Canis lupus familiaris: one gene and its partner. The protein of the gene in region 2 interacts with the protein of the main gene of each other region in a biochemical or structural test. Links are inferred from orthologs where the notes say so. Each region holds a gene or a part of one and is shown on either strand. Other genes may lie near its edges.

Region 1 (4,112 bases), on a different chromosome or scaffold from region 2:
AAGAAGTACACTAAATATCAACCACACCTACCATCCGGCTAATTCGAACAATGCAAATTAAGCATCATGTCTCTGAGATTTGACTCTTAAGCATTATTTAAAAGAAAAAAATCGAAGTTCACTATTAAAGGCTTTACTATCCTGTCCCATTATTCAAAAATCTCCTCAAAATCTTATTGTGAAAGAAATGTGCCAACGAGTGATAGTTTCCCTATTTCTAAAAAGCAGGCCTTGTTCTTTTAAAAGTGAGGTTCTTCCGACTCTTTTATGGTTCCCTGTTTATAAAGCAAAAGGAAATTAGCCAAAACGTAATAGGACAGTGGTTCTTCCCTCTTCCAGAGGATGTGCTGCAGAACGACAGTGTTCGTAGTGCTTCTGACTTTGAGTTCCCTCTTTTTGTCTTGCTGAGTCTAGCTAAAGGTTAGCCTGTTTTATTTTTCTTTTTCAAAAATCAGTTCTTAGTTTCATTGATCTTTTCTATTGTCCTTTTAGTCTCTATATCATTAATTTCCACTCTGATCTTTGTTATCTCCTTCCTTTTATCAATTTCGAACTTATTGGTGCTTCTATCAAGACAGTCTTTGAGAATTGAGACAGCGTTTGCTCCATATCAGAACCAACACTCTCTCACTCCCATCCAGAGCTAGTCTAGAAGTGGAGTGTTCAAAGAACAATCTGAGATCCAGTTTGGGCCTACTGGAGCTATCAGATCCCATGGATATGGAATCCAACTAGCTTCAAAAATTAAGATCATAAACAGTGTACCATTAGCCAGGAAACAAATTTCCAAAAGTGGCACAGAGAATAAACTAAGAACTGTGAAAGGTATTAACCTAAAAAATAAAAATAAAGGCCGGGAATTAAGGAGATACATGCTAAGAAAATTATCAGGGAACAGAGGTTATTCTCTGGATATAGCAATGATGCTGACTGTAAAATAATGGCCCACGAGACTTAAGAGCAGGAGACACCAGTTGTAAATATGTGAAAAGTATCCAGGGAATTTCGACACCAGCCAAGGAGATTCCCAGTAAAAATGCCAAAAGCAACTCTAAACGAACGTGGTGCCAGTGCTGTGCTCACTTACCCTTCTCATCTCTCCATGTTAGCGTCTACAATTACTCATTCATGGATAACATACACAGAATAATCACTCTTCCATCTATGTCAGTCCTTCTTGCCTCAATGTTTCTTTTAATCTGTTTGGAAATAATCAAGTATTGCATCCAAATTATACATTGATAGAGCACTTGGGGAAAAAAAACACAAATGAATAAACGAACAAACAAAATGTAGAATCGGACCTATAAATACAGAGAACAAACTGATGGTTGCCAGAGGGGTGAGGGGGTGGAGGGTTTGGGCAAAGTGAGTACAGGGGAGTGGGAGATACAGTCCAGTTATAGAATAAATATGTCACGGTAATAAAGGCACAGCATAGGGGGTATAGTCAATGACATGGTGATAGACTTGCATGGTGACATATGGTAGCTACACTTGTGATGAGCACAGCATAACGTCTAGAGATGTCGAATCACTATATTGTACGCCTGAAACTAATATTGTGTGTCAACTATACTCAAATGGGGGTGGGGGGAGGTCGTAAAAAGTAAAAACAAAAGAGGTTCTTAAAAAGAAAGAAAAAAAATATAGCACTTGGCTGTTTTTCACTTTTATAATTTTAGGTACTGAATTCCGTATTCACACAAATAGAGAAGACTAATATTGCAGACCTTGTGACATCCTTGATTATCCTCCTGGTTGTTTTTGTGGTTAAAGAAATAAATCAGCGCTACAAAGCCAAACTTCCAGTGCCCATCCCCATTGAACTCATCATGGTAACTGATCATCTTAAGACTCTCTTTCATAATTCACTAGTCTCCTGTTTCTATGTCACAAACCCTTCACCACTTGCAAATCAGGAAGTTTTAGTGGGGCAGATGCCATCTCTGCAGTTTCTGGGTGTGAGATTTAGCATGGCTTTCTCTTTGTACTGAATTAATGACTTCCCCTGGTGACTTGAGGTTCATCCTCTCCACTTGCGATGAGGACGGCACAGAGAGCAAGGCCTCAGAAAGGTTGGCAGACCCCTCAGGGCTGCGGTCCTTAACTCTGGGCTGCGGTCCTTAACTCTGGTGGCACAGGAGAATGGCCTCAGGACTTTTTTCAAGAGTAGCAAAGCCTGGGCTTGAGATTCTGATCTAAGAAGACTGCGAGTTTTATCTCAAATTTCTAACTTGGGCAATTTGCAACTTTGCAGACTGTGATCGCAACAGGTGTGTCCTATGGCTTTGACTTCGAAAACAGGTTTAAGGTGGCTGTGGTTGGGGAGATGAACAGAGGGTAAGTGTGTCTTTCTGACGGTGTCTCCAAGCACTGACTAGACAGGGAGCAGTAGCTGGGGAGGACCGCAAGCCGAAATGCATCCATCCAGCCCATATCCCTCCCTGCCTCTTGGGAGGACCAGGAAGGTGCTACTCCCTTTCTAGAAAGGAGCCACAAAGGCTCTGCAGTTCTTACTATCAGAAAGTCTGTCCTTGTAGAAGAATACACCAACCAGATGAGCAGGGATTCACAGGCAGGTAAAAGCGAAGCAAAGTTAAAAAAAAAAAAAAAAAAAAAAGTCAAACCTGCCTGCTTCTCTTCATAAAAAAGTAAAAAAGGAACCAAATGCAACCAGATTTCCTTGTCCATAAATTACTATAAACAATATGTAGTGTTTTGTTTGAGGTGATCTGAGCCAAGTTCTGACAGTTCAAAAGAGACGCAGAAGGAATACCCGTAGCCCACTGCTTGAACAATCCGGATAAGCACGCTCTGTCCTTCCTCGTGACCAAATTCAAAACAAGGCCAGGGCGACATTGAACACTGCAGAAGGATGGGACGTCCGGTTCATGCAAGGACTTTGAAAATGCATTGATTGCATTGCATTTATGGGATTGAGGAGAGATGCCCAGTTTTGTGCTTTCTTCTCTCTGTCCTCAGAGCAGAGCATCAATTTCTTCCAATTTGCTTACCAAGGACAGGTTGTGTTCCTGTTTTTTTTTTTTCTTCAAGATTTTATTTATTTATTCATGAGAGACACAGAGAGAGAGAGAGAAAGAGGGAGGGAGGGAGAGAGGCAGAGACACAGGCAGAGGGAGAAGCAGGCTCCATGCAGGGAGCCCGACATGGGACTCGATCCCAGGTCTCCAGGATCAGGCCCTGGGCTGAAGGCGGCGCTAAACTGCTGAGCCACTGGGCTGCCCTGTGTTCCTGTTTAAAACAAACAAACAAAAGACCTCCCTCCCTCCCTCCCTCCCCCTGCTTAAGGAGTATTTGAGAATTCCAGGAACCAGCATTTAAATGCATCATTGACTTTAACCAATTCTTTTAAAAAGCGAATATATGTCTTTTGAAAGCAAAAATACTTTGATCAGCAGATATTCATTTGTTACACTTAATGAATCTCAAGCACCACTTTTCATTTAAAAGGTTTTTAAATAGGAATTAGTCTGAAAAAAAAAAGGAATTGGTCTGAAACTGAAACACTATTTCTGGGATTTCTCTCCACCCTGCAACTTGCAAATGATTACACTTTATTTAAAAAGTCTTTGGAGACATAAACTACATAGATAGACACAGATAGGTAGATATAAAATTAAAGAGGATCTTACTCAAAGGATTTTGTAAATAAAACATAAACATAAGATCACTGGGTTACAATCTTAGAGACTTTACTTACTTTTTGGGGGTTAAATAAATCTTGAATGTCAAGGGACCTCTCTTCACAGTGTTTGCGGGGTGGGGAAGGAGTAACTCACATTTATCAATCATTACACTCCCAGAGAGAGTGTAGCCTGGTAGGCAAGCTCACCTGTTCTGGAGGCAGAGTGCCCGGGACTTAATTCTGAGTTACTTCTTGATCTTGGGCAAATAACTAAACTCTATGCCTCCATGTCCTTGGCTATAAAAAGGGGGCTAAACATAGTAGCTATCACATTGGATTTTTGTAAGGATCAAGTGTGTTCATATAAGCTACATGCATACTTAAGCACCTGCCCTGCAATAACCATTTACATGGCCTTATTACTAAGTTAGCATCTAAATTAGATACTAGGCTCTTTAGATGC
Region 2 (4,603 bases):
GCCTCCTCCAGTCGGCCTCGGCCTCGTCCGAGTGCCTTCTCCTAGGCCGAGCGCCCTCTCCTAGGCTGAGCACCCTCTCCTAGGTCCAGCAGCTCTCACGGGCTTTCTGGGGAGAAGGGAGGGGGATGGGGCCAGGACCAGAGCCGGGCTGCCCTGAGTCCACCTGGCTTAGAACACCAGCTGAGGGCCGAAAGAGTGGCCCCAAGTAGCCAAGAGGGTAGTCGCCAGAGGCCCTGTGAGGCAGAAGAGATGGAGACAGAGACTTCTGGAGGTGACCAGAGCAGGAGACTGCCTGTCCCCAAGAGGCGGGCACGGAGGTTCTGGGAGAAGCCAGGGTGTCCCTCTGCGCAGCCTGCCGTACCTTCTGGCCCGCCTCGGAGCTGAGGTTGCTTGCACGTGCCCAGTCCGGCTTCGGCTCCCAGGGGTCATGGGTGGGCGGAAGCCCTCGCTGGGCCATCTCCTCTGTGCAGGTCAGCTGCCGCCGGCGGAGCTCCTCGTCCGTCTCTTTGTCCACCACCAGCAGCCGAGTCTGTCCTTCCACAGCCTTGATTCTCTGCACCACCTGGGCCGGGCAGGTGGGGAAGGAGGCAGGTCAGCCGTCAGCACTCGGGGCAGCACATGGACAGTGGCACTGCCCAGGCCTGGCCCAGGATCGCGGACAGGCGGTTGGCCTACCAGGGGTGGGCGGCTGGACCGAGAGGCCCGCGGGCCCCGCCCCCCACCCCCAGGGCTGCGGCCGCTCCCTCCCTCTTCACCCAGGGCTCCTGACACAGGGCGGCAAGGGCTACAGGGTCACTGCAGGGACTGGCCTCAGTCCAGGGTCTTGTCCGGGAGAGGCCGGGAGGCTGGGGGAGGCAGCTGGTCTGGAAGATGGTGTGCGGCCAAGCCTCGGGTTCTCAGTGTGTGAGCGTGTGAGCGTGTGTGCACATGTGCATGTGCGTGCATGTGCGTGCGTGTGCGCACGGCTGTGTGTGCTGCGTGCAGCCATCTGTGTCGGGGTCTGTGTCTCAGTCTGGGTGAGGGAGCGAGGGGTCTCTCTAGGTCCCAGTCTGGGTGTGGCTGCGCTCCCTGCCGTTCTTCTCCGTCATCAAGTGTGGATGTCTAAACCCCTGCCTCCGGGTCTCCCGTTTGCCTCTAGACCACGAACACCTGTGCCTGGTTCCTGTGGCGTGGCACCTGCTCAGGCACCACACGCGACCTGGTGAGCAGGGTCCAGACTGGCAGGGGGAGGCCACCTGTGGGACAAGTGTGGCCTTGGGGTCATCTGCCTGTCTGTGCCGGGTCTGTGAAGTCTCTAGAGCACGTGGGTGACCATGGAGCACGCATGTCAGGGTGCACCCTGCAGGGAGGAGCAGCCGTGCCCACTGGGCATTGGGGTAGGAAGGACAAGACCCCCGCCCCCACCACGTCTTGGGGGAGGGTGGAGAGGGCCCCCATCAGCCGCTCGGCAGAAGCTGTCAACAGATAGGAGAGTGAGAACCAGGCTGTCCTCCCGGTGGCCCTCCCCTGCCCCCCCCCGCTTGGTGAGAGCCAAGGAGGACCCTAGCTCCCTGCTGCTTCCTGGCTGTGGGACCCAGGCTAGACACCTGATATCTGAAAGTATCAGTTTCCTCATCTGTAAAATGGGAGCTGGAACTCCTGGACTAGGAGGCAAAGGTGCCAGCACCCACCTCCTCCCTCCTGAGACAGTGGGGCTCTGTGTGTTAAACCAGCACCTGGGGTCCTGGGAGAAACAGGTGCTCCCGGGGTAAGGGTGGCTGTGACCATTAAACTAAGGCCAGGTGCCACTCTGCCAGCCCCTCCCTGTGGTCAGTCAGGTCAACACCTCTGGCCCACACCCCACCCTCCTTCAGCAAACAGCTTTTTCCAATTGACACTTTAGGTGGAAGACGGAAAGAAGGCAGACAGATGGATAGACAGGGGCCGCAGGGGTGGAAGCAGGAGGGCAGCTGCCGGTCCGGCCAAGAACCAGTTTACGGGTCTCTAGGTCCCAGGGCTGGCCACGCAGACAGGCCACAGGCTCACGGGGGCTGGGGAGGACACAGAGATCCCTGAGCAGAAGGGGTGGGGGGAGGCTGGATTCAAGCCACTGGGAGATAGTCCCCAGGGAGCAGAACCTGCAGCGCAAACCCCGCCCTCCCTCTGCAAGGGGCAGGGGACCGTGGCAGTGGCCCCTGCAGGGCCAGGCAGCCTCCAAGGGGAGCAATGTGCTGCCCCCAGCAGCGACTCTGAGACACCCAGCCAGCGTCAGCCAGGACACACATTAGCACATAGGCCTGCCAACACACATTGGTGACTACACGTAGGCAGGCATGCACACACACACACACACACCCAGGCATGCAGACCTGTATATTCACACACACACACACACACACACACACAGAGTCCGGCATACATACAGAGCCTCGCTCACATGCACCCATCCCCGCATGCAGATCTGTCCACACACGTGCACACACCCAGGGGCGTGGACCTGTATATTCACACGCACAGTCCAGCCCCTGCACACATGAGCACGCACACGCATTCCCTGACACGGGCACCTACAGGTGTGCCCTTACCGTGACGCCCCTCAGGGACACCCCGGCAGATGCGTGCAGCCGAAGGGGACCCCCAGGGGGACTTTACACACCCGTACCCAGCTGGGGACACAAGCACGTGTGTACGCACACGGGAAAGCACCCAGGGCCGCCAAGGCACGGAGACGCCGCCCCCCCCTCCGCCCCCCGCCAAGGCGCCTGCCGCCTCCGCTCCGCGCACACGAGGCCTGGGCAGGACTGAGTGCCAGGGCCCAGCCAGGAGCCGCAGTGCGGGCCCTCCCGCCGGGCTGCCCTGCGCTGCGGAGCCAGCCGCCCGGGTGGGGGCGACGGAGGAGACCGGGCCGCCGACCCCGCGCAGCCCCCGCCGGCCCCCGAGGAGCCCCGCGCCCCCGCCGCGCGCCGAGGCCCGCGCGCAGGGGCCGCCCCGGGAGGGCACCCACCTGGTGGTGCGTCTCGCCCTCCACGTTGACGCCGTTGACCTCGACCAGCCGGTCCCCCGCGCGCAGCGCAGCCGCCTCGGCCGGCGAGCCGGGCTCCACGCGCCGGATGAACTGGCCGCGGCGGCCCTTCTCGCCGTGCAGGTGGAAGCCGTAGCCGTGCTCCCCGCGCACCAGGCGGCACAGGCGCGGCCGCAGCGGCTCCGCGGCTGCCATGGCGCCGGCGGCCCCCCGGCCCACCGCGGACCGGCCACGGCGCCCACGCCCGCGGGGCAGGCACGGGGCGCGGGGGGCGGCACGGAGGACCTGGCGGCGCCCTCGGCGGCTCCCGCTCGGCTCCCGTCGCCTCGGGCTCGGGCTCGGGCTCGGCTGCGGCGCCGCCTCCGCGCCGCCCCTTCCCCGCCTCCTCCGCGGGGCCGCCCCCGCCCCGAGGCCCGGCGTGCCTGGCCCTGCCCTCCGGGGCGCCCCGCCAAGCCCGGGGACTGGGGGGGGGGGGGGGGGGCGGGGCCCAGGGACCCCTCTGCCCCGCCCTGCTCCGGGCAGCCTCCCCGCGCCGCCGCCTTTGCCTCCTAGTCCACCAACATGTATTGAGCACCTACTGTGTGCGGTCGCGAGGCGGGCTCTCGCAGGGGCCGGAGGGAAGGAAAAAATGTCACAGCTCTGCCCAGCACCCTTGGGAACACGCCCTCCCCCCACCACGCTGTCCCCCTATCTGGATCCCTCCTGCACTCAGAGCGGCCCTTGGCCCCACACAGTCCCAAGATGGTCCACGAGGCAAAAAGGGGAGTTTGGGAGTTACAAGGTAGCACCCCCATATTCTAGGGGACTCCGCGGCTCTCCCCGGGAGACCTATGGTGCCTATCTGTGCCCGGGTTTATTAAACACAACCCCCTCCCCCACGCACACCTCTCTGTGCCAGGGCCCCTCACCTGTGCCCCTGCTCATCCCAGAGATGAAATGTACCCTGGACTTTGGCCTCTGCCCTCTGGCTTGTGATCAATGCTCACAGAAGCTGTTCCCATGAGCTGAGGTGGGGGTGGCGGTGATCCCCCTCTGCCCCTCCCTCCATCCTTCTCCTCCCCTAGCATCTAGCCATGCTCAGCGTGAGTTCCCCTTCCCCCAACCCGACAAGAATGGCAGGAGAAAATCTGGTTAAACTCCGTTGTGCCTCTGAGTACACTTTCTCTAGAACATCCCTAGAGTGCTCAGGCCATTTTGCAAATCAAGAAACTGAGCTCTAGGGAGATCCCTGGGTGGCTCCGGGTTGAGCGCCTGCCTTCAGCTCAGGGCGTGATCCTGGAGACCCAGGAATAAATAAAATCTTAAAAAAAAAAAAAAAAAAAAAAAAAAAAGAAAGCAAGAAACTGAGCTCTAGAGAGTCAAGGTTCCCCAGTTCCTCATAGGCACCTCTGTGAGATTCCAAGTCCACACTTTATTTACCATGGGGCTCTTTCTCAGCCTCAGATACAGGAAGACAGCTGACCTGTGGTCTCCCCCTCAGCCTGACCAGCCCCATGGGGGCAGAAGCAGGCTCAGCTCAGGTCCCTTCCTTGCTGCTCCTTCTCCCCTCTCCAGTGCCCTCAGTCTGGGCGCCCAGCCCCCGCCGAAGCACTGGGCTCTCCT

What was found.
Region 1: the proteins of SLC9A3R2 (region 2) and SLC26A3 form a complex in vitro, tested with the Homo sapiens proteins (2 studies listed by BioGRID and IntAct, with this or other methods). The link is inferred for Canis lupus familiaris from reciprocal best matches to the Homo sapiens genes NHERF2 and SLC26A3.

What each region holds. Positions count from the first base shown.
Region 1 is NC_049239.1:13,058,760-13,062,871, forward strand, and holds part of SLC26A3 (chloride anion exchanger), read left to right. Parts: intron 1-1,685; coding exon 1,686-1,838; intron 1,839-2,260; coding exon 2,261-2,343; intron 2,344-4,112. UniProt on the Homo sapiens protein: Mediates chloride-bicarbonate exchange with a chloride bicarbonate stoichiometry of 2:1 in the intestinal epithelia. Plays a role in the chloride and bicarbonate homeostasis during sperm epididymal maturation and capacitation.
Region 2 is NC_049227.1:39,357,035-39,361,637, forward strand, and holds the start of SLC9A3R2 (Na(+)/H(+) exchange regulatory cofactor NHE-RF2), read right to left. Parts: upstream 3,290-4,603; 5' UTR 3,197-3,289; coding exon 2,984-3,196; intron 563-2,983; coding exon 362-562; intron 1-361.